2 linked regions of the Oryctolagus cuniculus genome follow. The main gene of each other region encodes a partner of the protein of the gene in region 2 in a complex. Links are inferred from orthologs where the notes say so. Each region holds a gene or a part of one and is shown on either strand. Other genes may lie near its edges.

Region 1 (16,696 bases), on a different chromosome or scaffold from region 2:
TCAGTGTCCCCTAAAAAGCTGAGATTGTTAAGCATGCAGGAGTACCACACACTCATTTTTTTACACTCCAAAGCCTAGTATGGGATAGTAGGTTTGCCAGAGCCACTAGGCTTTGAGGCAGAGCTAGCTTTGGGGATACATCCCTTTTTCTTGCTTGAGGAAGCACCAAAATTGTAGGGGCACATTCTAGGAATAGAGTTGGGACATCAGTGTTTTTGTCTGATTTTCTGAGGCATTTTTTTAAAGGGTAAAGATCATGAAGGGATGCTATTTGATGCTGCTAACTTAGAATAGTTTCCAATCATACAGGGAGATTCCAGCCTGCTTGAGTTAAAGGAGAATGTCCAAGACTACTGAGTTAGCTCTGCAGTCTCTAAAACGGCCATCGTTTCTCTAGCCACCACTGTGCTCACTGTGCTGCCTTCCTGCTGCTCTATAGTTGTTTTTGGAAACCAGGTGTCTCTAAGGACAATGAGACCAGCATCTTCCAAAACTTATTTGCAGCACCACTTAATGAACCCATCAAATGAACTCTCTGAATAAAATGACTGCAACTACATCTACTTCATTTGTTCTTGGGATATACTCTAAAAAAGGAATATTCTGATTAGCTGGAATTCTATGCTTGAAAACTATTCTAATACTATTAAGTATTTATGGATCTTTGATATTGGTAGGACGTGGTAGTAGGGGAGGTTATCGCTCAGTCTTCAGCCAGAAGAGGCAAACTTAAAACTATGAGTGGCTGTTAGCATACTCTGGTTAGAAGAGGAGCATCTGCAAGTGGCCTTTGCAGCTGTACTCAAATCTTAGGTGAGGATTTGTAAGAAAATCTGATCATGTTTGGCCTTGCCCATCTGAGAATGTCTGATTAAAAAAAAAAAAAAAAAATCAAGTTCTTGCTTTGATTTTTTTTTATTGACAGTATAGCCAGAGCTAGAGAAAGCAGTTATTGGATTCTATAAATTTAATAAATAATTTAATTCTAAGAGGAAAACAGTGTACTTGGATGTCTTAACAGAAATTGCTAAAGGCAAGAAACTTGGCATACATTCTGCTTGGATTCAAGAGGAGACAGTACAGGAGGAACACTGGAATATTTTGAGGTAAGAAACCTGAAGAGTTAAGACATTACAGATGAAAGGATAGGGAGCTGGGCAACTGACTTGAGGTAAAGGGAGTTATATATTTGGTAACATGTGACTTTAGCTGCCCACCTGGGATTGGTTGCCAAAAGTAGCCTTTTTATTAGATAAAGAGCAGGCTGGATGCCCTGGACAGGTAAGGACGCACTGTATAGTGGACTCCCAATACCAGCACCAACCACTAGCCTTTGACACCATAAACAGGAATGAGGTCAAGGGCTATGCTTAGCATTTTAAATGGAAGAGCCAGACGCTGAGAAGAACAAGAGAATAAAACCACAAGGAGAAGGAAACTAGTAGCATTAGTAAGAACAAGCAGGAAACAAGAAGACCAAGTACTTTCAACTTTCAACCTTTCTCTACTTCTTTATATTTAATGAGGCAAAATAACTGGGCAGGATGACCAAGCCAAGGAAGTTGAGATTGACTTTCCAACCATGCTGATCAATATGATATTGTCAGGGTTACTGAGGATTTTGTTTCTGCCTCAATGTAATATACTTCCAGGTACTTTGTTAGTACAGTGTAGACACTGAAGTACTTCAGTAAGAATTATGACAGTAGTTGCAGGAAGCAATCTATGATTACAGGCTTGGTAAATACATACTGCAATAAGAGAGTTCCCCTAAAAGACAAGGGATGCAGGCAAATTCAGCCCCTTAAAAATAACAAAAAGGATAAAAAAAGATTAATAAAATTGAGGCAGGTTCATTTTCTTCCTTTTGCTGAACGGGGGCAGGAGGCAGACTACTTCGGTTTAAGGGGTATTGGATAAGCTTTATAAAACAGGAAGATGGCAAAGGTTTTGTTTAAGTTTCTCTTTACTTTAATTTGCTTAAAACTGCAAACACTTGTGCTTGCAACAACTTCCTAAAAGGAGAAGTAGTGTTCCCTTTTATTATCTTAATAAAGCATTTGCCCCATCATACAAATGATTTTTCCTGTGCTAACAGCTGAACCAGTGGCACAAAATTGAGATGATAGTTACTGCAGCAAGGTCCCTGTAAATCAAAATCTGAGCTTTACATAAAAATCTTATTTATAAAAAATACAATACCAAGTACAGTGAGGATGGAGCATGGAGCAGCAGTGCTCCCTGCCAGGGCCATGTGGAAGTGGCTTCTGCTACAGTGCTTGCTTAATGGCACAAGTGAAAAGCTGAATAAGGCAAACACTTGAAGAGGCAGTTTCTGTAAACGTCGGGGCGTGGGGGGAGTTTCCTCTGTTGGGACAGCTACTGATTTGGGATGGCTAAGATCTGAGGCTATGATATGTAGCTACACCTGACATGTCACGTTGCAGATTAAGACAGCTCCTCCTGGACTAGAAACCAGTTCACTTGTTTTAGGAGATAGGTTATCACTGTAGCCTTCTGCCTTTACTGTCACAATGTGCAGCATCCAGCTGATACCCCCTTCCCCTGTGGAAGAAATCACCTTCAAAATCTTCCCAAGTGAAAAGATAGAAAATAAGCTAAGTTATTAGAAAAGTCTCCTTAGCTTAAAGCTCCTTAAGAACCCTACATTGAGTACTAAGCAACTTTGTTAGTGGTGTGTAGCTCTACACAAATGCTTTAACTAGAATATGTATTCCCACCCACTTGGTATCTAACAGTAATAAATTGTAATGACACTTGGAAAAGAAACTGATCTTGATTACTTCTGGCCTCTTCTCATGTCCTCACTTGGAACTTTCCAGCTTTCGTGACATATTTGACTCCTTTAAATGGCTTATATTTCTCCCCATACATGTCCAAGCGATTTACTTTCAGGCCTGTGTCAAAAAGAATGAAAGGAATAAATTACTACATCTCAGTTATACGAACCAATACTATATAGATAAAATGTGTATTTAAGCAATGAGCCTATACAGTAACTCTGACCTGAAGCAGCGTCTACTCCATCCACTATCAGGAAATGTCCCACCTACATTCACAAATTATTGAACTGTGGGGTTATGGTTTTAGTTGATTGCCATGTAGGCAGGGAATTCTACTTTCTGTGACTATGACTGACTTCTTTTCTGGTGGGTGAACGAAGGCAGGGGTTAAGGGAACTTGAGCGAAATAAATGCTCTCCACAACTGATGCCAGGGAGGCTGGCCCTACAGCACAGCCTAAAAGGCAAACTGGAGCTGTTGCTTTTTCTATAGCAGGAAATGTTTGTTACTTTTTTAACTATCCAATAACTGGGCTCAGTGAAACTTAGTTACCCTTAAACAAAGTCAAACACTTTTACCTGAAATAGCAAGTTGCTGAATCTTGAACTGTATGTTGAGGCTGGGATTCTCTTCTGGCTTAGGTGCTCCTGACTGTAAATTTACCAATCCCTTAAGACTTGGGAGCTTTTGTGGAGTAATTTTTCCCACATCCCATGTTAGTACCTTAAAAAGAAATAAAAAACAAGCATGTGACTTGAACTTGTTTTCTATTTGCAAATGAGGAACTTAAGGTTCCAGATGTCAAATTCCTTGCTTAACGCTAATAAAAGGCAAGTTGGAAGTTGACAAATCCCATCTGATTTTAAATGTTCTTTTTATTATACCATCTTCACTGCTTCTCTCTGAGCCTGTTTCTTTTTCTGTAAAGGGAGAATCATCTAAGTTGGTATTTGAAAATTTTTAGCTGTAGAAGTTCAAGTGAAATCTTAAGCATGGAAGCTCGATGCAGAAGAGAAAGCGAAGCTGTTCTGTTTGAAGCTACACTGGAAGGGCACGAGATCCGGAGCCCCCCTTTCCCAGTCCCGCGTTGTTTCTGAGGAGCTTCTTTGAATTCCTGGGATGGAGTTAGATAATGTTTAACAGTTTATGACTTTTAATTAAAAAAAAAAAATGTCTTTGGGTACCGTGAGTGGGTTCAGCTGCTAATTCCAACACCAGCATCCCATATCAAAGTGCATCAAAGGATGGAAGCTCTGTGTCACTCTGCCTTTCAAATAAATACATAAATACATCTTTTTAAAGAATATGCCTTTTTGGGGCTGGCGCTGTGGCACAGTGGGTTAAGCCACTACCTGTGGTGCAGGCATCTGATATGGGCACCAGTTCAAGTCCTGGATGCTCCATTTTCAATCCAGCTTCCTGCTAATGCACCTGAGAAAGCAATGGAAGATAACCAAAGTATTTGGGGCCCTGTAACCATGTAAAAAACCTGGAGGAAGCTCCTGGCTCCTGCCTGGCCCAGCCCTTGGAATGAACCAGTGGGTGGAAGATCTATCTCTCCCTCTATGTAACTCTGAGTTTCAAATAAATAAATACATCTTTAAAAAGCCTTTTTATCAGGCAGTTCAATGACTATGCTGTAGTTGCTTCATAATCTTCCGCTATAGGCATGTGTAAATAGGCAGAACAATGTCTCCTGTGGAAGAATATGAAATGAAGAACTTTTAAAAGGGGGCTGGCTGGCATTGTGGCCTAATGGATTAAGCCACTGCTTTTAATGCTGGCATCCCATGTGGAGTGCTGGTTTGAGTCCTGGCTGCTCTGCTTCTGATCCAGCTTGCGTATTTAATGAGGCTGGCAAGGCAGCAGAAGACGATTCAAGTCCTTGGGTCCCTCAACCATTTTTGAGACCAGGATGGAGTTCCTGGCTCCTGGTTTTGGCAGGACCTTTTGAGAAGTGAACCAGCAGGTGGAAGATCTCTCTCTACCCCCTCTCTCTGCTGTTTTGCCTTTCAAATAAATAAGTAAATAAACCTTAAAAAAAAGGAACAAAATAATGGTTGGTTTCTACAGAAAGATCTAACAATAGATTATAGTATCTTCATATATCCACAAAACACTTAAAAAAGCCTTTACTGGGGCCAGCACTGTCGCGTAGCAGGTAAAGCTGCCACCTGCAGCGCTGGCATGCCATACAGACACTGGTTCAAATCCCAGCTGCTCCACTTCCAATTCAGCTCCCTGCTATGGCCTGGGAAAGCAGTACAAGATGGCCCAAGTCCTTGGGCCCCTGCACCTACGTGGGAGACCTGGAAGAAGCTCCTGGCTCCTGGCTTCAGACTGGCCCAGGCCTGGCCATGGCAGCCATCTGGAAAGTGAATCAGCGGATGGAAGACCTCTCTGCCTTTGCCTCTCTGTAATTCTGCCTTTCAAAATAAATAAATAAATTGTTTTAAAAAAGCCTTTACATTCTTATTAGTAGAGACAGTCTTTGGGTTATCACAGATGAGTAAAGGTACTTTGAAAGAAGATAGAGTCAGTTTCACGTCTCTGTTTATCTACTCAGGGGCAGACGTGGGATTCTCTCTACAGCCAGTGGCAGAAATACAGCCTAGTATGACCTTTGTTTGGTTTGGATAGGAACTTTAGTTTTAAACAAGGTGGTAAACCTCCCCTCTACTCTTTCCCCCAAATCACAAAAGAGATTTCAGGAAACACTTGCTCACTCTTGATCTGAAGTGGCTGTACCTTGGTGACTGGATCAAAGGTATAGCTGCCTTGTGTTGGTGTCAGGTTCATATTCAGCACAACTTTTGGCATGTGAACTGTCACTGTAATTCCTTCAACAGTTTTGCCCATATTCTGCTTTGGTCCAATCGTTACATCAAATCTGCCACAGGAACTGTTCTCCTTGAAGCTGATATTATGTTTCACATACACTGGTATTGCCACTAGACTAAAAGACACAAAAGCATATACATACACAATTAATGGTTAGGATACCTTCAGAGCTGCCCTGAAAATACCAGTCCAGAGTATTCTACCCTGCGTCTACTCCACAGTAGGGATCCATATTTCTGAAACTGCGTCTTTAGCATCTGCACAAAGGAAAGCTGGGTATAGCACATTCTGGTACCACTGTGGTCTAGGAAATCTATCATTTCTCAGCAGGAGGTATACAGATCAGAACCCAACTCTGAAGCCTAATAACAGTGTAAGCAATTGAGACAAATGGTTCTAGTTTTTAAAAAGATCCCACTGAAAGGTAATTTAGAATTTAATATAAATGATGAGAGCCAAGAAACATTTCTCTGCTTTTCAGTCCTGTCTTGATGATACCACCCAAATACCCTCAGATCCTTTCAAGGAAAAAAATAGCTATATAAGCTACGATGCTGAATTGTTCCTTTGAAACTCACGGCAGCAGAGAGTGACTTGAAGTGGGCATGTTGGGCAAGTCTGCAGAGCTAAAGGTAAGGCCTGTCTCCTTCTGTTGGCCAAATGTCTACAGACTTTGATAAAATTATGGTACCAGTTCCGGGTTCTGGTTATGCATAGTCCAAAATGCTTGTTCTCAGGCATAGGCTTTGCTATGGTCTTATTTACTGCTACTATGTACTCTTAGATTCAAGGTACAGATTATTTCAGGCATGTATTCTCATCAGTTCTCTTGGGGTATCTTTTTTTTTTTTTTTTTTTTTTTTTTGACAGGCAGAGTGGACAGTGAGAGAGAGAGACAGAGAGAAAGGTCTTCCTTTGCCGTTGGTTCACCTTCCAATGGCCACCGCAGTCAGTAAGCTGCGGCCGGCGCACCGCGCTGATGCGATGGCAGGAGCCAGGTACTTCTCCTGGTCTCCCATGGGGTGCAGGGCCCAAGCACTTGGGCCATCCTCCACTGCACTCCCTGGCCACAGCAGAGAGCTGGCCTGGAAGAGGGGTATCCGGGACAGAATCCGGCGCCCTGACTGGGACTAGAACCCGGTGTGCCAGTGCCGCAAGGCGGAGGATTAGCCTAGTGAGCCGCGGCGCCGGCCTCTCTTTGGGTATCTTGTTGAGTTGTGATTAAGTCAACCATGATGAACTCAAGTAGCCAAGTGTAGAATGAAACAAGGCAAAGTAGGTTCTATTCAGTACACTGATACATGATGGAAGATTCTGGCTGACACATCAACATACTTTTGTGAGCTGACACGGTAGGATATGAGTCGGAAATTTCCATCTGGAGGAATAAATGACAAAACTCTTTCAGATTCCCAGCGTTTGAACCGGATGCAGGGATGGAAGCTGACATCATCCAGAAGCCTGGGGTTCTGCCAGGAAAACACAAGACAGCCAGGTTCATAAAGTATACCAGCTATGGTAACTCTGTTCAGTATTATGAGATATTAGTATTTTTTCTAAAGATAAAGCAGTCATGAATGAAATAAACCAGGCACAGAAAGACAAATACCACATGTTCTCACTTATATGCAGAAGCTAAAGTCGATCTCACCAAAAATTACAGTGATTACCAGAGGTAGATGGAGTAAGGTGGTGGAGAACAGAGGGAGGCTGTTAAGATGGATCTCCTAATACAGTTAGAAGGAGTAAGTTCTGCAGTTCTAGCACAGTAGGCTGACTACAGCAATTTGTGATTTATGAAGAACTAGAAGAGAGGAATATGAAAGTTCCCAATAGCAAGAATGACAAACATTTAAGAAGATAGAAATGCTAATTATACTGATTTGATCATTATACACTGTTTATGTAAATGTATTATCACGCTGTAGCCCTTAACTATGTTATTATGTGTCAAAAAGATAAAAGTCATGTGAGCATTTATTAGTTATTATGACATCCACAGAACCTTAAACGTTTCACAATTTGCAAGTATTTTATATACATTATTTGAATTTCAATAACTACCAGGGAGCAAAGATGAATAATATTAGTTCCATTGCATAGGTAAAAAAACTGAGGTTCAGGACAAATTGGTAAAAGAGCACCATAACTCAATTCTTTTCATTGTTCTTTGCAGTGTGGTATGCTAAGTCCAAAATGATAAGACAAAGTCCAGTGCCCTTTCCTGTTAGTAAAGCAGATAATTATTCAGTGAAAACTAAAGTAGAGATTTGCCAGCTAACTTTTAAGTCACTTTTAGCACATCTAAGCAAAGACTTCTCAGCCTTTTCATAAAGGCCAGGCTCATCATGTAAACTACTGTCCTGAAAGCTGCTATGCTAGCAATACTTCTCAGATGATCCTTTACACTCTTAGATACAAACTTATCTAAAGTACTTATCACCTCATTTAATATTTAGTTGTAGTACTTATCGCTTCATTGAGTATTTCATATGTATGCTATTATGAGTTGGAAATTTCCACCTGGAGGAATAAATGTAGCCCTTTGCTGCAAACAAGAAAACAAAACTTACCATGAAAGATAGGGAGAGATCGGGCATTCCTGATAGCTTAATGCAAGCATCAATGACCCCCTGAATTTCTGCAAAGACTGTAGATCCTGAAGAAAGAAAAAGATTGATAGTATCAATGGAATCTGAGTCTTTAGCAGAGCTATCACTATATCTGGAGTAATGGAGCCACCCCCTGGGTGTCAGACTTGCTGAAGCTTTGCACCTCGATTAACAGGTCAGTGGACAGGGGATATATTACACCAGTTCAGAAAGCCTTTTCATTTAGTGCCATGGTCTGTAGCTAACTCTGGTTGGAATATGATAATGCTAATGAAAATCAAACCTATCTCCTTTAGAGAGTTCACCTTCTAAGACTACTGATATGAATTTAAATTGTTACAACAGACTTGAAAAATGAGGGAAATTTATTAGGAAATGCAGCAAACTACTTCCTAACTTTTAAGAAATAGGAGCCACTTGGGATAAGCATTGTGATGTAGTGGGTAACGCTGCCACCTGCAATGCCAGCACTCCATACGTGTGCCAGGTTGTGTTCTAGCTGCTCCACTTTCCATCTGGGTCCCTGCCACCCACATGGGTGACACGATGAAGCTCCCAGCTCCTGGATTTGAGCTGACACAGTCCTGCTGTTGCAGCTATCTACAGAGTGAACCACCCTCACCACCCTAACTCTGACTTACCAAATAAATAAATAAACATTTAAAAAAAGAAAAATAGAAGCTATGATCTATTTTTCTGTAGACAGAATGCTACAGTGGAAAGAGTAATCACTGAAGAAAAGATATTGGCTAGGGGCCGGTGCTGTGGCATAGCAGGTTAACGCCCTGGCCTGAAGAACTGGCATTCCATATGGGCGCTGGTTCGAGACCCGGCTGCTCCACTTCAAACCAACTCCGTGCTATGGCCTGGGAAGGCAGTAGATGGCCCAAGTCCTAGGACACCTGCACCTGCGTGCGAGAACTGGAAGAAGCTCCTGGCTTCGGATTGGCGCAGCTCTGGCCGTTGAGGCCAACTGGGGAGTGAACCAGTGGATGGAAAAATCTCTTTCTCTGTCTCCTCTCTCTGTGTAACTCTTTCAAATAAATAAACAAATCTGTAAAAAAAGAAAAGCAAAGCTGAAAGGAAGGATTCCTTTCCCTTTATCAATTACTATTAAAAAAAAGATATTGGCTAAAATTCACTAATTATCATCACATATCAAATACAACCTTTAGTGGATCACTCAACCTTTCTAAGGCTCTTCCTTTCTTTCTTATGGCTGCAACGGCTGAGACTAAGCCAGGCCGAAGCCAGAAGTCAGGAGCCAGGAGCTTCTTCAGCATCTCCTATGTGGGTGCAGGGACCCAAAAACTTGGGCCATCTCTGCCTTCCCAGGCCATCAGCAGGGAGCTGGATCAGAAATGGAGCAGGAACTCAAACTGGCGCCTATATGGGATGCCAGTGCTGCAGGCAGATGCTTAACATACTACATTGCAGTGCCAGCCCCAGCCTCAGTTTACATATAAAATGTGATGATGGGACTAGATTTTTAAAAATACTTTATAATTTTACTAATTTTTTGATAAACATTTAATACTTGCACATTTTATGGGTATTCTTTTTTCTTTCTTTCTTTTTTTTTAAGATTAATTTATTTATTTGAAGGCTGAGTTACAGAGAGGCAGAGAGAGGGGGAGAGGGAGAGAGAGAGAGAGGTCTTCCATCTGCTGGTTAACTCCCCAGATGGCTGCAACAGCCAGAGCTACACCAATCTGAAGCCAGGAGTCAGGAGTTTCTTCTGGGTCTTTCATGCAGGTGCAGGGACCCAAGGACTTGGGCCATCTTCTATTGCTTTGGGGTATACTTTCAACATATATACAGAGCCTGGATTGATTGAGCTAGGCAACTAAGCGTTTACTTCCTTTTTTTTTTTTTTTTTTTTTTTTTTTGACAGGCAGAGTGGACAGTGAGAGAGAGACAGAGAGAAAGGTCTTCCTTTTGCCGTTGGTTCACCCTCCAATGGCCGCTGCGGCCGGTGCGCTGCGGCCGGCGCACCGCGCTGATCCAATGGCAGGAGCCAGGTGCTTCTCCTGGTCTCCCATGGGGTGCAGGGCCCAAGCACTTGGGCCATCCTCCACTGCACTCCCTGGCCACAGCAGAGAGCTGGCCTGGAAGAGGGGCAACCGGGACAGAATCCGGCGCCCCGACCGGGACTAGAACCCGGTGTGCCGGCGCTGCAAGGCGGAGGATTAGCCTAGTGAGCTGCGGCGCCGGCCTCCTTTTCGTTTTGTTTGGTGCCTATCAGCTCTTCTTTTCCAGTTCTTCATATGGTATATAATACAATTTTGTGAACTACAGTCACCCTAGTTATATTATGAATATTTTTAATAATTAAATTTTATGATTGTGATAGAGTACCATCACCTGGTCTGGCTAAAAAATAGTCAGACACAGCCCTCTGCTAGTAGTACGGCATATAAAATAGTAGTAAAAGTATGGTATATGATAGATATGCAGTAAGTGTTACAAATAAATAACAAGCAAGAGAAGTATACAGAGTAATAATTAATCTGTAAGTAAGGCATGATGATTTCTAATTTACGAATGTTTGGCAGACTTCAACTAGTGGTTATGAAAATTATATGTAACCTCTGGGCAAAATAAACAGAGTTCTAAATCCTTAGAAAATAAATGCCTTTCTACTGAAATTACACTGCCAAAGGATTTTAATTTTCTTTTCAGCCTATGTCGGCTGAATTGTTTTTTCCCTAAATTGGACCTCATGCACAAATTACCTGATTTGTCTATAATTGCATCTATTTCTTCAACGACATCAAAATAGGCTTCGTTGTTTGTGTACTTTACCCCTGCCCGGCGCCATGGGATATTGGACAGCTGCCCAGTGGGAAGTGTGTCCCCAACATTACTACTGCCTGGGAAATGTAAAAGAAGAAAGCAAAGCTGATATATAAAATGGTTATCAGAAAAGCTATCATCAGAAAACAAAATTAAAAAAAAAAAAGAAGTAAGTGGCTTCTTCAAATGCTGTGTTTTTCTCACTGAAACTGTGATGGTCTCCAGAAATGTCAAAGATGTATCTATAACCAATATGATCAAACTTCTAAAAGACAGAAACAGGCCATGTGGTTCTCTGACAAACCAGGTTAAATTCATTTACTTATCTTTTGCTTTCTGTGTGTTAATAGAAACAATAACTAATTCCAGTGGCCCAACAACAGACTCTCATCCTGCTGCCACTGATGAAAAGAGGTTGTTTGTTTCAAAATCTTTTGCTGATAAAATGTCTCCACTGAGAATACAAAGTGATAAATAGGCCCTTTGGTATTCAGCTTAATTGTATACCAGATGCTGCCAAAAAGGCCTCAGTGGAGAAACTGGATGAAGAACATGCTCTGGCCTTTTCCCATTTTCAGGTCAGCACACTGATTTAGCTGCAATATGGTTAAACTTCAATATCTAATTGCATGGTAAATCACAAACACTTGTGTGATTGTCCAAAAAAACGTGCTTTGACTTACTTAACATTTTGGTTACTTTACACTTCTAATCCAAGTACATGCTTAACTGTCCTCTGGCCAAGAAGGGAGGGGCATAGTTCATAAAGTGGTTTAAAAAAAATCTATCTTCTTACGAACAAGGTACAATTACCATTATGTTTTTAAGCATTTTCCCATGTAGGTTGCATTTACTATTTTGTTCTATTTTGTTAATTTTGTTTTGAATGCACTTGTATTCATACTGTATATACAATTTTGCAATCCATTTATGATTGGTGTTCCTGCCTCCAACCTGTTGCTTTCCAGAAGAATTTTTGAAAGCCATAGCTTTCATCATGTTGTTTTCCTGCTTAAAATCTTCCATGTTTACAATAAAAGCTAAATATTTAGCCTAACATTCAAGGACTTTCTCAGCTGTTAAAATTACTTCCCTCACTACGCATCTGAAAAACAGCTCGGCTTCTATTAAAGGGGTTAATACAACTCAAGGTTTTCACTTCATGTGTATTTTTCCTCATACCTATGGAGAATGCTTTTTTTCTAACTCTACTGATTGTCCAGGGCCCTGCCTGAAGGCTACTTATTACAGTCCAGCAAGGATTACTTCATATACTGAACTATCCTCTTGGACTTTACAATATATTGCCCTATGGATACATGTTAAATTTTTACATTCTACATAGTAACATTTTTCTAATTAAAAATATGTTTATTTTGGAAGGTTGGAAATTATGAAGCAAAAATATATTCTGTATTTCCTTAGCTTGAGATAGTTACTGTCAGCATTTTAGATTTTTGTCTTTGAGAATGTCAATATATAATTAAGAGTAGCTTTTAATGGTCTTGAGCTGTTTTTTTAACCTGTTTAATAATTTTAGAATGAGTATTTCCAGTGTTACTACATTATCTGCAAAGTATGAAACTGTTTACTAAAATCTTAGTGTTACACAGGAGTTTAAATTTTAGGCACACAGTGGCTTCATAGAGTGACTTCTTTAACACTACCTAGGATAATTTATCCAATCCTCTTACTTAGTGCATACCAGTAACTAATTCTGGCCAAATCTTACTACTTTAATAATTTGTCAGATCATAAGTACCAATAAGTTGTTTATAAAATTGTAGCTGCTAGAGGAATATGTTTTCACCTTACCTGTAATAGAATTGACAACAGAACGTAGAATTGTTGGTGGCTTAATCAGTTCTTTCAAAATGTTAGATTCAGTAGCCAGTGGAAATCCATTGTCTAACATTTCTTCCAAGAGCTCATATACTATGACCACGTTATCCTTGATTGCAGCCTCTGAACACTCACCAAAATAGTCCTAACAAAATATATAGAATATTGCACAATGAAAAGCAGAAAGGAAGATTTGCTACATACTTTTTCTCAGAATAAACTTAAAGTGAAGTAACTTACTTTTTAACATGTTGAAAATCTGTAAGCAAGAGGGAAGAAACCCCTCTAGTCCTAGCACTACTCCTCAAAATTTTTGTAATTTATTATTTATTTCAGAGACAGACAGACACACATACACAGAGAGACAGAGTTCCCACGCACTAGTTCAATCCCCAAATGCCTACAATGTCCATGGCTGGGTCAAGGTTAAGTCAAGAGCCAAGAACTCAATCCAGGTTTCTCACATGGGTTTTAGGAACTCAATTATTAAGCCATCATTGCTGCCTCCCTGGGTCTGTATTATTGGGAAGCTGAAATCGGGAGATGGAAATTAAACTCTGATGTTGAATGAAGTGTAAACTGGCATGTTAAACTGCAAATGCCTGCTCCCTAAAGTGTTTTTGGAATGAACTTGATTCCTAATACATTATACCAAAAAGTACTGAAATGTTAAACTGGGGGCCTGTGCTGTGGCATAGCAGGTTAAGCCACAGTTACAGCTCCTGTTCGAGTTCTGGCTGCTTCACTTGCAATCCAGTTCCCTGCTGGATCTCCCTGGGCAGAGAGCAGGATTGGAAGTGTAGCAGCCAGGACTCGAACTGGTGCCACAGGCCGGGACCTTCACAGCACTGGCCCCATGAATAAATCTTAAACAAAAAAGAAAGAAAAAGAAAGAAATGTTAAACTGGCATGTAAGCAAGAAACTTCACTTGTCCTGGGCAGGTGTTAAGTGCTGGAGTAGGCTGCTTAGTGCTGCTTAGGAACGCTTGCATCCTGTACCACAGTGCTGGTTCCAGCTCTGCTCCTCCATTTCCAATCCAGCTTCCTAATACCGCATGCTAGGAGGCAGAGGATAATAGCAAGTGCTTCCCTTCCTTCTACGTGGGAGACCCAGATAGAGTTCCTGGCTCCTGCCTTCAGCCTGGCCCAGCTGTAACAGGCATTTGGGGAGTGAACCAGTGGATAGAAGAAGCATGCTCGCTCTCTCTGTTGCTCTGCCTTTCAAGTAGATGAAAAAAATAAGCATTGAAAAACAACACCACAAAAACTTCATTTGTCCTGATTAACTACTCCTAAGCACACATGGATAAGTTTTAAATTATTTGGTATACACAGCAAGACAAGAAAAAATATAGATTGTAAATACAGAAGAGTTCATAATCAACAAAAATCTTGGGAATATCCAGAGAATTTTATTTGGAGGGCCCTATTATTGCCTGATGACATAATTTTTAATATACCTAAAAAACAGCAAACAGAGTAGCCGTGTGTACGCTGTACACTCTATAGAAAAAGGTTTAAGAAGTGAGAAACAAAGAGTATACACTAAAAGCTGCAAATTAATCACAAGCCCCACTTCCAGCTAACTTGTGCAACTTAAATTAGAACGGTTTTATGCATAACCAACCTGGAAAGTGTCAGCAACTCGATGCAGGAACTCAATTACAAAGAGAGGTGGCACTTCAGTCTGTATGACAGACACAAAGAAGAGCTTGTCCCGGTAGATACTGATGAGGTAATGGTGAGGTGTTGAAATGACAGGTGGCACATTTTCAACATCAGCAGCTTTCTCCTGAGCTTCAAAGAAATAATCACAGACAGACTGGCTCACAACACTCTTCCAGTGCTTCTCCAGAAATATGTCACCGGAACAGTTAATGAGAAATAGACTGTGGATCATTTTTCTGTGGGGGGGAAAAAGGTTTAATTTTATTAAATGTCACAAAGTGCCCATGTATTACCCTGATACAAAACCTTACAAAGCAATATAAGAAACTACAGACTATTTTCATTTAAGAACACTGACAGAGTGGCTGGCACTGTGGTGTAGAGTTAAGCCACCGCATGCAACACTGCCATCTCAAGTGGGCGCTGGTTCATGTCCCAGCTGTTCCACTTCTGATCCAGCACCCTGCTGATGGCCTGGGAAAAGCAGCCGAAGATGGCCCAAGTGTGTGGGCCTCTGTCATTCACATGGGAGACTGACAAGAAGTTTTTGACCCCCGCAGCCATGGGAAGTGAATCAGTGGATAGAAGACCTTTCTCTCCTTCTCTCTGTAACTCTTCCTTTCAAATAAATAAATCTTTTATTTTTTAAGGAATATTGATACAAAAATCCTGACAAAAACACTAAAAAACTGAATCTGGTAACATATTAAAAAAGGGCTACATTCCCTCACCAAGTGATATTTATTTCAAGAGGGAAAAGTTGGTTCAAATAAGCAAATCAAAGTAACATGGAATATTAATACAAGTACCAAAACAAATAGTCATTTCAAAAATTAAAGAAAAAGCATTGACAAAATCTAAGACCTTTTCATGAAAACAAAACAAGTGCTTGAACCAGGAAGATAAACTTCCCTAACCTGATAAAGACATCCACGAGAATCTCACAACTAATATCACATTTAATAGTAAAAGAACAAATATAGGCCGGCGCCGCGGCTCACTAGGCTAATCCTCCGCCTTGCGGCGCCGGCACACCGGGTTCTAGTCCTGGTCGGGGCGCTGGATTCTGTCCCGGTTGCCCCTCTTCCAGGCCAGCTCTCTGCTGTGGCCCGGGAGTGCAGTGGAGGATGGCCCAAGGGCTTGGGCCCTGCACCCCATGGGAGACCAGGAAAAGTACCTGGCTCCTGCCATCGGATCAGCACGGTGCGCCGGCCGCAGTGCACTGGCTGCGGCGGCCATTGGAGGGTGAACCAACGGCAAAGGAAGACCTTTCTCTCTGTCTCTCTCTCACTGTCCACTCTGCCTGTCAAAAAAAAAAAAAAAAAAAAAAAAAAAGAACAAATATAGATTGTCCACTCTCACCATTTTTATTCAACATGGTTCTAGCCAGGGCAATTAAGTAAGAAAAAGAAAAAAAAAAGGCTCTCAAATTGAAAAGGAAAGAGCAAAACTGTATTTGCAGAATATACAATCTTTTATATAGAAAATCCTAAGGATTAGACACAAAAAACTAGTAGAGCTAAAAGATGAGTTCAGCAAGATTGCAGAATGACAATGAATCCAAAAAAACGAACTGTATTGCTATTCATTAGCTACAAATAGCATGAAAATAAAATTAAAGAAATAATTTCAGGGTCAGGCATTTAGTCTACCAGTTAAAATGCCCAAATGAGGGGGCTGGTGCTGTGGTGTAGCGGGTAAAGCTGCCGCCTGCAGTACCAGCATCCCATAAGAGCACCAGTTTGAGTCCCAGCTGCTCCACTTCTGATCCAGCTCCCTGCCAATGTGCCTGGGAAAGCAGCAGAAGGATGGCCCAAGTCCTTGCGCCCCTACATCCACATGGGAGACTCAGAAGGAACTCCTGGATCCTGGCTTCAGATGGGCTCGGTTCTGGTGCTGTGGCCATTTGGGGAGAGAACCAACAGAGAGCAGACCTCTCTCTCTTTTGTCTCTACCTCTCTCTGTAACTTTGTCTTTCAAATAAATAAATCTTTAAAAAAATGTATACAACTCTTAGAAAAAATGCATAAATCTTCATGACCCTGGATTAGCTATTTTTTTTTTTAAGATATGACACCAAAAGCACAAGCAAGAAAAAAATAGGTCACTTGGTCTTATCAAAATTATAAGTTT
Region 2 (16,696 bases):
TACCGCTCCCACAGAAGCACAGGCTCACACTTCAAAGCAGTCTTCCTTCTGCATCAGGGATTAGGCAACACCCTAAGTTACCTGCCCTCTACCGCTCCCACAGAAGCACAGGCTCACACTTTAAGACAGTCTTTCTTCTGCATCAGGGATCAGGCAACAAGGGAAACACACTGAGCGTCATGGGAGCCACGTTTCTTACTACTGGAGAGGAATGAAGAAACGAAAATGCAGGCTGCCGGATGAAGTTACAAGTATCAGTGCAAATTTCTGTTATGTGTGTGTTTTTAAATTCACATTCCCTGGAGACACTTATTTCTAATTTTTAATGTTTATTATCACCTCATATTTTATTTTATATAAAATGGCTCCTTCAATCCAAAGAGCAACTTTAGAAATGGTTAAGTCCTACACATTTGGAAACTGAGTCATGAAGGCTTAATATGTTGCTATCTTAAGAAGTTTAGCCATGATCCCAATTCTGTCTAATTACAAAGACTATACTTTTCACCTGTAACATGCTATATCTGGGAAGATACACACACATTAGATATGGAGATTTCATTCCCAGGCCATCTAACGAATCTGTTTTCATCTTCAATGTAGAAGAAATGATGGTAAACCATCTTAAAATAAGGAATGGTGCCGGTGCCACGGCTCAATGGGCTAATCCTCTGCCTGCGGTGCCGGTACCCTAGGTTCTAGTCCCAGATGGGGTGCCGGATTCTGTCCCAGTTGCTCCTCTTCCAGTCCAGCTCTCTGCTGTGGCCCGGGATTGCAGTGGAGGATGGCCCAAGTGCTTGGGCCCTGCACCCCATGGGAGACCAGGAGGAAGCACCTGGCTCCTAGCTTCGGATCGGCACAGTGCGTCAGCAGTAGCAGCCACTTGGGGGGTGAACCAACGGAAAAAGAAGACCTTTCTCTCTCTCTAACTCTGCCTACACCTCCCCCCCCAAAATAAGGAATGTTTCTCATGGATCTTATTCTCCACAGTCCCTAGCAAATATCTTCCACATAAAACAAATGATTTCTTTAATTATTAAAATCAAGTTAACCCCAATAGCAATAAGATCAACTTTGTATATCTGGGTCTTAGCAGCAGACAGTATGCCTGTCAAATAAAAAAGACAAAGAGGAATCAAATTTCTTTCCTCTATCGTCAATTATTGAGTCAATCTATATCTGATTATCTTCAAAATTATGACAATAATGCATAGAAGAAGACAGTGAACATTTCTGCTACACTATAGATTCAAAAAAATCACCGAGAGGCTTAGGAATGAAAACTCCAAGTATAATTTCCATGAATAACAACAGTATTTTTTAAGTAGTAAAAAATAACTAAAAGATTTAAAAAGTTTAGCAGTCGTATTCATTTAGTGACTCTCCTCACTTCAAAAAAAAAAAAAAAAAAACTTACTGGAGTAATGAGAAACAAAAGAACACTTGAGACACATATAAACAAACAAAACGGCTAAAAATCCAACCATATTGGCCGGCGCCGCGGCTCACTAGGCTAATCCTCCGCCTAGCGGCGCCGGCACACCGGGTTCTAGTCCCGGTCGGGGCGCCGGATTCTGTCCCGGTTGCCCCTCTTCCAGGCCAGCCCTCTGCTGTGGCCAGGGAGTGCAGTGGAGGATGGCCCAGGTGCTTGGGCCCTGCACCCCATGGGAGACCAGGAAAAGCACCTGGCTCCTGGCTCCTGCCATCGGATTAGCGCGGTGCGCCGGCTGCAGCGCGCCGGCCGCGGCGGCCATTGGAGGGTGAACCAACGGCAAAAGGAAGACCTTTCTCTCTGTCTCTCTCTCTCACTGTCCACTCTGCCTGTCAAAAAAAAAAAAAAAAAAAAAAATCCAACCATATTAATAACGTTAAGTGTGAATGGATTAAAAAACTCAGTCAAGGGCCAGTGCCGCGGTTCACTAGGCTAATCCTCCGCCTGCGGCACTGGCACCACAGGTTCTAGTCCCAGTCAGGGCACAAGATTCTGTCCCGGTTGCCCCCTTCCAGTCCAGCTCTCTGCTGTGGCCCGGGATTGCAGTGGAGGATGGCCCAAGTGCTTGGGCCCTGCACCCCATGGGAGACCAGGAGGAAGCACCTGGCTCCTGGCTTCGGATCGGCGCAGCGCCACCGGCCATGCAGCCACATGGGGGGATGAACCAACAGAAAAAGGAAGACCTTTCTCCCCCCCCCCCCTCTCTCTCTCTCACTGTCTAACTCTGGCTGCCAAAGAAAAAAAAAAAACTCAGTCAAAAGAACATAATGCCATTCCAGATAAAAACCATATGCCATCGACTGGAGACATATATTATATACAAAAATACAAAAAGATTAAAAATAAAAACCTATGGGGGCTGGCGCTGCGGCTCACTAGGCTAATCCTCCACCTTGTGTCGCTCCCCCATTTGCGGAGGAACGACACTAGACCCTGTGCTGTTCTTTCATCTGCTCAGCCCTTCCCGGGTTTGCTGCTGGTTCTTCCCGGGTTGGCTGCCGACCCCTCCACCTCCGTGGAAGGGCAGTTCCCCCTGCCACTTTCCCCACTTCCACGGGGGAGCGGCACACCGCCGGCCGGCTCTCTCGGGGGCTGCTCAGGTGTTCCTTCAGATGTTCCTGGTGCATGTTGTCTCTCTCCTCCTTTATAGTCCTCTTCCACCAATCCCAACTCTGCTACCCACACGCCGAGCACGCTGCTCTCCTCCAATCAGGAGCAGGATCAGCTCCTGCAGCTTATCAGTCAAATTGGCAAGAGGCAGCTGCGTAGAGGTTGTTTGCTCTCTCTCTCAGCGCCATATTGTGGGATAGCAGATGCACAGAATTAGTCCTAGTTCCAGTAATTTAGTCTAGTCTCAGTTGCTCCCCACAACCTTGCGGCGCCGGCACACGGGGTTCTAGTCCCGGTCAGGGTGCCGGATTCTGTCCCAGTTGCCCCTCTTCCAGGCCAGCTCTCTGCTGTGGCCAGGGAGGGCAGTGGAGGATGGCCCAAGTCCTTGGGCCCTGCACCCCATGGGAGACCAGGAGAAGCACCTGGCTCCTGGCTTCGGATCAGCGCGGTGTGCTGGCTGCAGCGCGCAGGCCGCGGCAACCATTGGAGGGTGAACCAATGGCAAAGGAAGACCCTTCTCGCTGTCTTTCTCTCTCACTGTCCACTCTGCCTGTCCAAAAAAAAAAACAAACCTATGGGGCTGGCACTGTGGTGTAGTGGGTTAAGCATCTGCATGCAGCGCAAGCATCCTATATGGGCACTGGTTCATATCCCAGCTGCCCCACTGCCGATCTAGCTCCCTGATGGCCTGGGAAAGCAGTGGAAGGTGGTGGCCCAAGTCCTCGGGCCCCTGCATCTGCAGCAGAGACCCAGAAGAAGCTCCTAGCTCCTGGATGCAGATGAGCTCAACTTGGGTTGCTGCGGCCATTTGGGAAGTGAACCAGTGAATAGAAGACCTCGCCCTCTGTCTCTTCCTCTCTGTGTGACTCTGCCTCTTAAGTAAAATAAATAAATCTCTAAAAATTTTTTTAAAAAAGGCAAGAAAACGTATGTACTAAAAACAGCAACCACAGAAAGTTGGAATGGCTGTACTAACACCAAACACACACAAAAAAAGTCTAAGCAAAAAGTGTTTCTAGAGATAGAAGAACATTTTATAATAACAAAATGGAAAAAACACATATGCACTAAATATCAGAGCTCCTGAAGATATGAAGCAAATAATGACAGAATGGGAAAGACAAACTTCACTATCCCACTCTCAATAAGGCTAGAACCAGTAGGCATAAGACACAAAACACGACCCATACACTACCAAAAGATGATCACTTCATTAAGATCATTCTTTGTAGCCAATAAAGCAGCCTAGTATGTATGAAAATATTTTAATATTTCCTAAAAACACATTTGTAACACTAAAAGCCAATTCTCAAATTTTCCAAAATCCCTTTAACATTTAATGCTTCATTTTAAGATAATGGTTTTCCCAAGTCCTTTTAAAATCCAAATACACTATTGTTTGAAATAAACTTAGATTCTATAAGCGGTCGACAAGAGTCTTCAGTTAAAGAAAAGATTTTCCCCAACTTCAGACTCTGATCAACAAACATGTAGGAGTCAGAGCTGTGGTGTAGCAGGTTAAAACCCCAGCCTGTAGCACCAGCATCCCCTTAGGCCACCAGTTCAAGTCCCAGCTGCTCCACTTCCAATCCAGTGTTCTGCTATGGCCTGGAAAAGTAGTGGAAGATGGCCCATCTCCCTGGGCCCCTGCACCCGCATGGGAGACCCGGAAGAAGCTCCTGGCTCCTGGCTTCCAATCAGCTCAGCTCTGTCCATTGTGGTCATTTGGGGAGTGAACCAGCAGAATGGAAGACCACTTTATCTCTCTCTGACTCTACCTCTCTCCATAACTCTCTTTCAAATAAATAAAATAATTCTTAAAAAAGAAACAAACAGGCCGGCGCCATGGTTCACTGGGCTAATCCTCCGCCTTGCAGCGCCGGCAGCCCGGGTTCTGGTCCCGGTTAGGGTGCCGGATTCTGTCCCGGTTGCCCCTCCTCCAGGCCAGCTCTCTGCTGGCCAGGGAGTGCAGTGGAGGATGGCCCAAGTGCTTGGGCCCTGCACCCGCATGGGAGACCGGGAGAGGCACCTGGCTCCTGCCATCGGATCAGCGCGGTGCGCTGGCCGCAGCGGCCATTGGAGGGTGAACCAGTGGCAAAGGGAAGACCTTTCTCTCTGTCTCTCTCTCTCACTGTCCACTCTGCCTGTCAAAAAAAATAAAAATAAAAAAAAATAAAAATAAAAAAAAGAAATAAACAAGTAACAAACTTAACTTTACAATGCAATCTTTATTATATGGAAACCTTTGATCTTCGAAGATTTTAAAATTCTTAGAAGCTCCATTAATGCTCATACCACTTTGGAGTGGGCATTTGGTCCAGCAATTAAGACGCCAGACTGGTTCCAGCTCCTGAACCCCGCCTCCTGCCACTACAGACGCTGGGAGGCAGCAGGTAACCTCTCAAGTGATGGCCTCCTGTTGCCCCTTGGAGACCTAGACTGCATTCCCAGCTCCCATCTTAGGCCCCAGCTGTCGCAGGCATTTGAGGAGTGATTTAGCAGATGGGATCTGTTTTTCTCTCTCCACAACTGAGGTTTGAAATAAAATTAATTACATAAAATATCCAATGGTAAATGATACTATGTAAATAAAAAACTATTTTAATAACAAAAGATTTTACTTACTGTGCTTTTATCTTTCAAAAGCTTTTCAATTACTTCAATTAACATTTCCTTTTGCTCTGGATCAAGACTGAAACAGTAAAAGAAAACCTTTATCAATTTCTTTCCTTAATTCTGGTTTTAAAAGATGCTCATGGTTCATGATGCTAAAAAATCTTAAAAGAAGGGAGGGAAGGAAAAATTATTTCAACATAGAAACAGAAAAGAAATTTATAGTAAAATAGAAAGTTTTTCTCATAAACGTGTCCTAAACTTCATCACATTAACTAAGTCAAGTATACATGATAAGTGTTTAAATAAGACTTCACTTTTAAGAAAAAAGACTTAATCTGTTTGAAAGGCAGAGTTAGAGACACAGAGTGAGATAAAGAGAGGTCTTCTCTTCACTGGTTCACTTCCTAGATGGCTGCAATGGCAGGATGTGGGCCAGGCAGAAGCCAGGAGCCACATGGGTGCAGGGGCCCAAGCACGCGGGCCATCCTCGGCTGCTTCCCAGGTCATGTGCAGGGAGGTGGATGGGAAACGGAGCAGCTGGGATTCAAAACAGCCCTTCCAGGACAGGATGCCAGCGTTGCAGCAGGCAGCTGTGCCACAACACTGATCCCCCAAATCACTTCTCAAACTAGTTGGAAAACCCAAGGAAGTAATTTCAAGTAGGTAGAGCACAAGTTGCTTCGACTGGGTTAAAAACAATAGCCATCATGTTTACTATGGATACATAACTGCTTAAAACAAATACAGGGAATTTCCAAATAAGAATGTATTATCATACCAGTGGGAAGACAGGTTTTTAAAACCTGCCCTATAAGAACCAGAAAAATAAGAGGTAAGAATGGACTGTATTGTGTTACTAGATCATGAATTCCTGGCTACCAGCAGGACTCAAGGCCAGAGAGAGAACCTGCAGCACAGTGACAAAAGGATTTTGAAGCCATCATAGTGAGCTTTGATCTTTCCCAAGTTTATAATGAGAAAGCTCAAGAGTGAAAAGCAATATAAATGTGGACAGTTACTTTAAAAATAGGAGTTTTTACCTTTTATAGGCATTATATAATTATATTATTAGCCATTATAATTATCTGAAGCTTCAGGTCTTTCAACTTCTTTCAAATTCCAGTTTCAGTCGCCTTCTCCAAGAAGTCTTTCCTAACTAATCCCACATCACTGCATCTTTACTTTCTGGCCAAACCGGTAACACGATGGCTTCTGTTCTTCCAAAGGTATCATTAGTATGTTTTTGCATACAACACACAATGGCACTTGAAAAAATGGGTGGGAAAAGTTTAAAAATAGTATGTATTTCCCACAAACTTTTTGAAGATAAATTTTATCATATGCTAATATCTTGGTCAATTATAGCTTGCCTTAATTATTTGGCATATGATTGATTTTCTTCTGCAAATGGAAAATATACTTTTCTTAAGTGTCACAACTGCTATTGTTGGCATAAATCTGGCTGACGCAGCGCTGTGGACACACTATCACACACACACAGTGTGCTACTACAGTCTCATAGATCACTTTTCAAAAATCATTTAACAAATAGCTCTGGGAAAGAACGAGACAAGGAGAAGAACAGAAGGAACAAAGATGGAACAAGGGACAAGCTGAGAAGATAATGCAATTAACATTCTACTCAATAATACAGAAAGAAATCTCAGTATTCTAATAACTGAGACGTGTGTACAAGGGACAGACTATATAAATGAGAATTCAAATTCTGATTATTTTCAAGCTAATAAAATCTATCACAGGTCCCATTTATCACAGGTCCTAATTAGTTCACAAATTAAAAGCTTGCATAGGGTTTCTGTAACCAAAATTAAAAATTCATAAAGATGTCTGAGGCAAATATTAATCATTTGATTTACTTTTAAGAGCTCATAAAATAAGTCTCTGTGGTCCATCACCTTCTGGGTAAGAGTGCAACATTACAGATTTTCAGTATTATCAAAAACACCTACCTGTACAGCTTCTGTATTGCGTGGGCTGCGTTCTTCCTAACATACGGTGACAAGTCGGCAGAAGCGTCCTTGATAGCGAGCATCATGATAGGCACAATGATTGGCACTCTGATGCTTGACAGAACTCTCAAAGCACTGGCACGGATTAGCTGGTTTGGGTCCTAACGAAGCGCAAAAATACTCATCAGAATTTTAAGTTTGCAAATATTTCAAAGGCATCTTTATGACAATTAATAGGTGCTTATAGGGTGCAATATAAAGACAGGAGAAAGCTACTTGAAGTGAACACCCAGGATATGGAAGTGGGTAAAAACAAGTAAATAAACGTTTATTTCTATGAATATTTTAAAGAAAAATAATGGTTATAATTGAAATTGATAAATTATTATTACATGAGGCAGACTTCTAGGATTTCATAATAATAAAATGTTGCAGGTCATAAATTTTATCTTTGAGAAGGTCTTATGCTCCCTCTTTGAACACTTTTTTCAATTAGCTGCTATGATGAACAGTTTTTTGATGCATGCTAATGTTTTCACCAGACATACAGAAACATCACAGAAGCTACAGCAGACAAGGCAAGGTTCCAGGTGGCTATACAAATCACTTTCCAATGGCGCTGACCAGGTACTAGGGCAGACCTTTTAACTCTTTCGAGACAGTCCTGTGCTATTTAGAAGATTACTGCTCCAGTTCTTCAAGTGCCCAGAAACCGTAACTATCTGCCTGCTGACTCCATTATTTACCTTCAGAGCCCGCTGAAAAGTGCTGATGGATAAGAGAGCCAGGTCCTGCTGCTCCTCGGCGTACCGGACCAGGTAAACATACACCAACTTCTTTATCTGGTTTAAAAAAAAACGTTTTTGAAAGTCATTTACTCATAGCCGGAGGGAAAATTTAAAAATCAGTAGGTTCTACACCAAAATATACTCTCGATTATTTCTCTAGTATATTAAGTATACCTGGTCATAGTTCAGATTATAAAATAAAGATAATATTTTGGCAACCAAAAAGCTTATGAAGTAAGCATTTTAATCATCTAATCCATAACAGCAGCATTCTATCAAGTGTCCCTCCCTCTAAAAGGAAATTTAAGAAATTCCCTGAGCAAAATTCACAAGAATATTAGAACAGTAACTGAAGTGGGAAGTATTTTCACAATCAGTAAGGAAGAACGAACGTGAGCCCTGTCCAGCAGTCACATAGTAAGGGGACTTATACTTCCTTCTTGCCCCAAAGATTCTGGAGTCCCGTCTCTGACCTAACGGGAATACTCACACCGTATTACACATTATTCAAGATTTCCAGTTCAGAATTAACAATGTACAGTGGGTACTTCAAAAAGCTCATGGGAAAATATAATTCAAAGATAAGCATATTTTGCTACAAAAGTTTTTGAAACTCAAGCATTTTTTTCCTAAAATGCATTTTTATGAACTCTGAGACTTCTTGTATGCCTGGATTTCAAAACATTTTTACCACTATAAACTTATCTTTTAAATCCATTTCCACAAACTTTTTGAAGCAATCTCATATGTCAGTAACACTAATTTAATGTAACAGAAACTCCAAAAGCCTGGACTTGTGTTCTGAAAAGTTTTTAAAGCCAATTTAATTATTAGGCTTAACACAAAATTATGAACAGAAAAAAATAAATAAAAATGGAATTTTAGTTGTTGTTCATCAATTGCTTCCTTTTCACAAATCCTAGATACTACCTGATTGCTTTTTGCATATATACTGGCATAGTACACCCTAAAATTTTCTGGAATGTTCAAAAAAACATAAAAAATGGAAGGGAGACTAGTTGGAAATGGCTGGAGAGGAAAAAGAGTGCCACCCTGGGTTATGCCAAACCAACCAACGTCTACACTGCTTCACAGGCAGCTGCCAGGCCCCTTCTGCCTCCACAGTCTGATTTCTGCACACACAGGATTCTGAGCCCTTTCACCACTCTACTGCTCTCTCACAAACCTGCTCTCACTCTAGTCTGCATTCCTTCGGCTGCGGCCCTCCACACTACAAATGGCCTGAACAGAACAGACCAGTGACAGCTTCCAACAAGGCACTTCACTGACACACACAACTCTTGTTCTGTGTGTTTATGATACAACTAATTCCTGGCTTAAGCTCTGTATTTTTCCAAACCATACTTGAGCGACTTTCTCAGGGGATTTTAAAAATTTAAGTGAGGGGCAAAATCTTACATTTATCAACAGAAGTTTTAAATACCAAATTCAATGCACCATGTTATTTTGTTAAGAAAACCTTAGACCTTAATTTTACAAGTTCTAAGAACAAACCTAGTGAGTATACTTTCTACATCTTCATCATTATTAATAGAGATGCTAAACATAACCATTTAAAGTTAATAATTCATTCATTTATATTACATGGACACAGAGGTGAAACAAACGAAATAATTTATTCCTAATTAGTCTTCAGTGTTGAATGACTCCACAGAATCATAAAAGGAAAATCTCAATACAGCTTATAATCTATCACCAAACTTCTTTCCTATTTACAAAAGCAGTCCCCAAATATAACTTACACTTTCTGTCTCAATTTCCATTAGGTTACACTCCTGAGTTACACCACGTCACGCTAATTCCACTTACCAAATTTTCCACAAAAGCAAATATTAAATAATAAAATATTAACAGAGTAAAATAAATTATACCTACATAACATTAAACCATGCAGCCACTATAACGAGTTCAATAAACATGTATATGATACCCAAAATATATCCCCTTAACAATTTTTACTGGTTTATAGTGTGAATCCTATGATCTCATTTGTATTTGAATCAACAGATGCGCACACTGTATTTTATTCAGTCTAACATACAAAATCAGTTTTTCTTTTTTTTTTAATGAGGAAGTTGAAAATTTTATTATGTTTCTTATTTGCTATAGAGCTGCTGCTTCACTGTATAAAACAGCACCAGCACACGCAGTATATCGCAAAATTAAGATAGTATTGTTCTTTCTCTGGCACTGTACAACTAAAACTTGTGCATTTCCAGTTACTTCCAATGGAAAGATCATCACATATTTTGACCCCAATCCAGGGATGGGTATAAGCAAGTTACAATATTATGTAAGGCTTAAGATAACAATGTTATCCTTGCATTACATTATTTGTATACCTAGTTTTTAGCACAGATAACTTCATGATTCTGAATTAGTGCCTAGAGCCGAGTATAAAAATCACAAGGTACTGTGAAAAGATACGTATTATGTTCATCTGCAATCACTACAAAGTTAGGGCATATTTTCTTCCAGTAGCAGAGTTGAAAGTAGTATTGAAAGTAGTTGCTATGTTAAGTCCTGTCCAGCACTAATTTAAGATAAAACTGTGTGGACTGAGTTACTCCATATTAGCTCATGCAAGGGTTCCACTTTCACTCCTCAATAGCTTTTATGTGTTTCTCATAGGCTTCTTCACTCATTAGTACGTCTGGTTCTGAAGGGTTACTCAGTGTCCTCTTGATCAGCCACCCATCTTCATAACTAGATTTGTTGCCGAGTCCTGGGTTTTCTGCAAGGGTTTCATTAATTTCAGTTACTTCTCCTGGTGGAGGAGAATAGAGTTCACTAGCAGTTTTCACACTTTCCAAAGCACCAAACTCACTGTGGCTCAGAAAAAAATGATGTGCCTCATATCAGACCATCTTCCTTGTTTGTTCAATTTTGTCCCAACTTCAGGCAGACTACAAAAAGCATCTCCTAAGGCTTCCTGTGCAAAATTGCTGATTCCCACTGCTCCAATACCATTTTCTGTTGTTATCCATTCATGTTTCTCTGTGAATTTATGCACTAAGAGCAGAGTGGGTCCTGTGCGCAGCATCTGCACAGCCCACGCCCGCAGTTACCAGGACACAGGTGAGCAGGCTCCAGGGCAGAGGCGAACAGGCTGCAGGCCATGGCAGGCAACATGTTTCAAGCTATGCCATTGTTTTATGTACCACAAAGTAACAAAGAATGAAGAAGCCCTGCCCAGTGTAAGTCAACACCATATGTTAAGATAAATCCTACCTACAGAAACTCTAAAATTGAAAACAAGTATCTTAAAATAGATACGATATTGTAAAAATGGCAAACAGGTACACACGGCAGTCCCCACCTCCTGTATCTGTAAGGCAGATGTTCCAATAGCAGCAGAGGATGCCTCACTATGGACATGATACTGATTCATATACGTTCACACACACACACACAATGTTTTTTCCTATAAATTCAAACATATGATAAAATTTAACTTATAAATCAGGCACAGTTCAGAGAGTAACAATAGGGGCTGGCGTTATGGTATAGTAGGTTACGCCACAGCCAGCAGTGCCAGCATCCCATATGGGTACTGGTTCAAGTCTCGGCGGCTCCACTTCCCATCCAGCTCTCTGCAATGGTCTAGGAAAGCAGTGGAAGATGGCCCAAGTGCTTGGACCCCTGCACCCACATGGGAGACCCGGAGGAAGCTACTGGCTCCTGGCTTCGGATCATCTGAGCTTCGGCCGTCGTAGCCATTCGAGAAGTGAACCAGTGGATGGAAGACCTTTCTCTCTGTCTCTCCCTCTCTCTCTCTAACTCTACCTCTCCAAATAAATAAATCTTTAAAAAAAATAACAATAGCTAATATATAGAAAAATTTTCACTATATTACAATAAAAGTTACATGGCTATGGTCTCTCTCCCTCCAAATATCTTACTGGACTCTCACCTTTCACTTTTAAAAAAAGTACTTGACAGTTTCTCTTTAGCTTATCTGAATTACCAGCATCAGCATTCCTGACTTTGGGGTCATTATTAAGCAAAGTAAGAGTTAAAGACCAGCAGCCATGCTGGGACAGCAGATCAGATAATCAAGATGGCTACCAAAGTGACTAACGGGCAGGCAGCATGTCTGAAGTGGACACACTGGACACGGGGTAACTCACAGCCTAGATGAAGGGAGAGGATTTCACCATGCTCCTCAGAATGACATGCACTTTGAAACGTATGAACTGTTTCTAGAATTTTCTCTTTTCAATTGATCACAGGTAATTGAAACCACGGGAAGTAAAACTGAATCAGAGGAGGTAACCATATAGCACTAACCACACACCTGGAACATTCTAAATTTTATTCACATTAATTCATTTCACTGTCACGACTCAATAAACAGTGTGATTCCCATTCTGCAGATGAGAAAATGGAGGCTCAGAGAGGTTCAGTAACGACCACGGTGAACACTCATCAGGTGGAGGCACCCGGATTCAAAGCGAGCAAGCATAAAAGGAGAGAATCTACCTGGTAAATGCTAACAGAGACCATGTCTGACCAACAGTAATTAGTGACTTTCACTCTCTGCATCGTTCTATACTACCTGATTTTTCCCAAAGAATATTAATTTTCTGCGGATAAAACAGTAAAGATGGAGCCGGTGCTGTGGCACAGCGGGTTAACGCCCTGGCTTGAGGCGTCAGAGTCCCATGCAGCCGCCAGTTAGAAACCCGGCTGCTCCACTTCCAAAGCTGTGGCCTGGGAAAGCAGCAGAGGATGGCCCGGTCCTTGGGGCCCTGCACCCACGAGGGAGACCAGGAAGAAGCTCCTGGCTTCGGATTGGCGCAGCTCCAGCTGTTGCGGCCAATTGAGGAGTGAACCAGCGGATGGCAGACCTCTCTCTCTCTCTCTCTCTCGCTCTCTGCCTCTCCTCTCTCTGTGTAACTCTGACTTTCAAATAAATTTAAAAAAAATAAAGATATTTTTACTTTAGGGGTAAACCTCATCTTTCCAAGAATCCTCCAGCACAAAACAATAGTACTTTCTCTGACTTTAACAATATTTTAAATTTCTTCATTATAAACAATTTTGAGTAGACAATATTTTTAAATTATCATATTCTACCAAAGACTATATCTGTAGCCTTGGCAATACACAGTTACCAGAACTACTTTAAAGCTGTTCAATTCAATAGATCAACAAAATTCAGCTGAATTAACAGGCTTTTCCAAGTCAACCAGCCTGAGACAGCCGAAGCCTGTAAAAGGTAGCCAGTCAAGAACAAACTCACTCCAAGAAACACGTATCTGGGTGCCCATCAATCAACAACAGACTCATCCAAGTGGCCACACATCTGCAGATATTCACCCAGTCAGGACCCTGAACGTCCATGAGTTCCTCCAAGTCCACCTTTCCCAAAACTCCACCGCAAGGTTGGCCATCTCTTTGCCCAAGGAAACTGCATAAGAAGCGTAACTCTTCCCAGCTATTGAATGTAACAAATTTACTGTCTTACTATTTCAGGCACTCAGAGCGGTCTCCATCATCCTTCAACATGACCTACTGAAAGGTCCAAAGTTATTAATGGCAGGCCTATATACCTTCAATTTTCAAGTATCACAGTTATCAAATACATGATATTGTATATTTAAAATTTCCCAATAATATGTCTATATTTTTCCCTAATCCAGAATTGTGCATTAGATTTAAGCTTTGTTGTCTCACTGATCTTTCACATGGAAAAGTTCTTTGGCCTTTTATATCTAAGACTATGCTTACCATTTAGTCAGTATTAAAATTAGTTAAGGAACATAGACTACGAAAGGAAATTCTGCCTAAGAAAGTGGAGGGCGGGGAACAGAAAAGCAGGACAAGCATGGTTAGAGGGAGCACTGGGTTCACGGAAGTCCCCACAGGGAATCCACAAAGAAGCAGGAGGACACGGAAGATGGAAAGTGCAGAGAAAGATGAAGAAGCCAACTGACAGGCAAGTGTCATCTGGGACAAAAGCCAGGTTTCTTAAGGAAATGACAGAAAGGGCAAAAATAATGCCACTCTGGGGACTACAACATGGCTAAAAGCAAAAAAGAAGAACAAGTGACTTCCTACTGCAGCCCCTGATAAAGCAGAGGTCACTGGTGGCCACGTGCTCCCGCCACAGGATCTTCAAGGAAACCACCTCCTGTTGCTAGCAAGTCGGCTGGCTGATTAAAAGAGCAGAATTGCATGAATTTTCTAATTCCCATTATTTTTCCTTAATATAATACTCATTCACTTTTTATTTCTTTTTATTCACTAAGTCATTTGAGACTGCCGGCTTTGCAGGTAGCAGGGTGCGTACTGCCACTATAAGGGAATATACATGTGCAGAGTTTTTGGCTAACAGTGTACTAAGAAAAAAGGACACGACAAGGCAGCATAATCTACTTGAAAATAACTGTACGTCCTACCTATGTCATTATGTAGGACTGGTCCCAATACACAACACGTTTGACTTTTTTTTTTTTAGATTTATTTATTTATTTGAAAGTCAGAGTTACAGAGAGGAGGAGAGGCAGAAACAGAGGGAGAGAGGAAAAGGGAGAGGGGAAAGGAGAGGGAAAGGGAGAGGGGGAGAGGGGGAGAGAGGGGGAGAGGGAGGGAGGGAGAGGGAGAGAGAGAGAGAGAGAGTCTTCCATCCGCTGGTTTACTCCCCAGATGGCCACAACGGCAGGAGCTACACTGATCCAAAGCCAGGACCAGGAGCTTTTTCTGTCTCTCCCACGCAGGTGCAGGGGCTCAAGGACTTGGGCCATCTTCTGCTTTCCCAGGCCATAGCAGAGAGTAGGATCAGAATTGGAGCAGCTGGGACTTAAACCAGCACTCATATGGGATGCTGGCACGGCAGGCGGCTTTATTTGCTACACCACAGCACCTGCCTCTAGATGGTCTTAATGGTTCTAACTTTAGTTACTTCATTTTAATAATAGCTTGGTATGTTACTCTTATTTAACATAATCTTTACTGAACTGGTTTCTTCTGTATTTTCTTTTTGGATTTTGTAAAAAAGAAGTTTCAGACAAGCTGGAAAAGAGTTCGTGTAATTCAAAGACAACTAGATGGGATTCCAAAAGGTCTGCGTCTCTGGGCTTGACCTGGAATGGCCTTAACCCTGCGTCAGCTTTAAAAGACTCTCCCTTGGGCAATATTTGCCCATGCTGGTTAACCTACATAACTCATCCAATGCTCAGCAGGTTCCATCGCAGTTAGTATTCTTATTCCGTTCCATAACGCTAATACATCTTGTGTTGTTGAAGGTGTGAAAGAAGTACACATGCACGTGGACTGATGACTTCAATTTGTGCCATTTTTGTAAATACAACAGTTTAACACCATCTTAAAAAAAATAGTAGGAAAGGAAAACACAGAAGTTTGTATCTCACCTTTGGTCTCAGAGCAAGCACGTGGCAGAACCAGGAATCAGCCCAAGACAGAGGACAAGCTCCCTAGTATGACGTATCTGCTGTGTGAGAGCAGTCCTCACACTTCTCCATCAAAGTGTCCCCGACAAAGAGATGGCCTTCGCCCCCAGCCCCCTGCCCCCAGCCCCCTGCCCCCAGCATCTGAAAATCTAGTGTAAATTAAACCATTTAAAGAATAAAATTTCTTAAATATAAACTATCTCTATAGGCGGGAAAAAAATATTTGATACTATATCAGTTTATAAAAGAATATTTTAAATCACTTAACCCTTACTAAGTCTTATGGTCCAGTCAACGCACTAGGTCCAACAAACAGCTTTATAATTCTTAGAAACTAACTCATAAACCAAATTGGATTATCATCTTACTTGAGAAGCACATCACTGAGATACTGTTACTAAAAATTCAACATGAGATTTGCTTCTACAGAAAATCAAAGCACTTGGCATCTACACTCACAGATTTTATGCATTCTTTTAGTCAAATCAGTCCTTCTCAAAATTTACAATCTGCTTAATCCCAAAGTAAATATATCTGTGAAAACACTGCTCTTTTAAATTATCACTTGCAACCAAGTGGTCTTAGGCAGGAATTACAGAACTGGATGATACTAGTTTGTAAAGTGAAAGTCAAATGGGTCAAACTGTGTGCAACGTGTTAGACTTGAGTGGAAACAAATTCCAAACATTCTTAGACCAGTTTTAGAAGCATCTATCAAATTGAGGAGAGATGACTTTCTCCCCAGCTATATTTTATAGCTCCTAACACTACAATGAAGCTAGAAAGTCAACTTGTTGGCTGATTAATAGTTTAAAGATATTAAATCAACACAAAACACAAATTAAGCAGAAAATCTCTCAGGTCTGCCGTGGGACTAAAGTGAGGTTACCTAGCAGGGGAACCCTTCTTCATTCATCGTTATCACACTGCTTGGCACGTGGCTAAGAGCACAGCACTTATTAGCTGAATCACATCACAGCCCACAGGCGGACTGGAAAAAATTAAGACATTTCCCACCGGGCTGCTATATACAGAAACTAACTTCCCACCAGCAGTTATGACTCACTGAATACTATGTCTCTACAGACATCAACATATTATGAGGAAAGTATAGGTAATGGGAAGACTGCACCAAGCTCTTTACCTCATTCATTGCTGTTGTTTTAAATAATCATTTCAAATATGTTTTCTCTTTACTAATTATATTCAGATCTCACTCTATAATTACCAGGAGAGTTTCAAAAGAATCTTGGGTTACATTCTGTTTTGGCTCAATCCCTTTAT

What was found.
Region 1: the proteins of AP3B1 (region 2) and AP3M1 are in contact, whole or in part, in a cryo-EM structure (PDB 9C5A), measured with the Homo sapiens proteins. The link is inferred for Oryctolagus cuniculus from reciprocal best matches to the Homo sapiens genes AP3B1 and AP3M1. Residues at the interface, in NP_003655.3 of Homo sapiens: Leu60, Lys64, Val67, Gly68, Ile70, Ala71, Lys72, Gly73, Ile92, Glu93, Lys96, Leu97, Val100, Arg104, Glu107, Asn128, Gln129, Leu130, Arg137, Arg143, Ser163, Pro164, Tyr165, Lys168, Asn169, His172, Gln175, Lys176, Leu202, Ser206; in NP_001307192.1 of Homo sapiens: Met1, Phe15, Leu16, Glu17, Trp20, Lys21, Ser22, Val23, Gln26, Val42, Glu43, Asn44, Val45, Pro46, Pro47, Val48, Ser50, Tyr55, Ser58, Ile59, Tyr60, Gln71, Thr72, Glu73, Val74, Pro75, Pro76, Leu77, Phe78, Ile80.

What each region holds. Positions count from the first base shown.
Region 1 is NC_091446.1:65,181,671-65,198,366, forward strand, and holds part of AP3M1 (AP-3 complex subunit mu-1), read right to left. Parts: intron 14,800-16,696; 5' UTR 14,796-14,799; coding exon 14,523-14,795; intron 13,041-14,522; coding exon 12,869-13,040; intron 11,131-12,868; coding exon 10,993-11,130; intron 8,305-10,992; coding exon 8,219-8,304; intron 7,115-8,218; coding exon 6,981-7,114; intron 5,761-6,980; coding exon 5,553-5,760; intron 3,528-5,552; coding exon 3,383-3,527; intron 2,919-3,382; coding exon 2,818-2,918; 3' UTR 1-2,817. UniProt on the Homo sapiens protein: Part of the AP-3 complex, an adaptor-related complex which is not clathrin-associated. The complex is associated with the Golgi region as well as more peripheral structures.
Region 2 is NC_091445.1:2,244,496-2,261,191, forward strand, and holds part of AP3B1 (AP-3 complex subunit beta-1), read right to left. Parts: intron 8,031-16,696; coding exon 7,935-8,030; intron 7,350-7,934; coding exon 7,189-7,349; intron 5,295-7,188; coding exon 5,228-5,294; intron 1-5,227. UniProt on the Homo sapiens protein: Subunit of non-clathrin- and clathrin-associated adaptor protein complex 3 (AP-3) that plays a role in protein sorting in the late-Golgi/trans-Golgi network (TGN) and/or endosomes.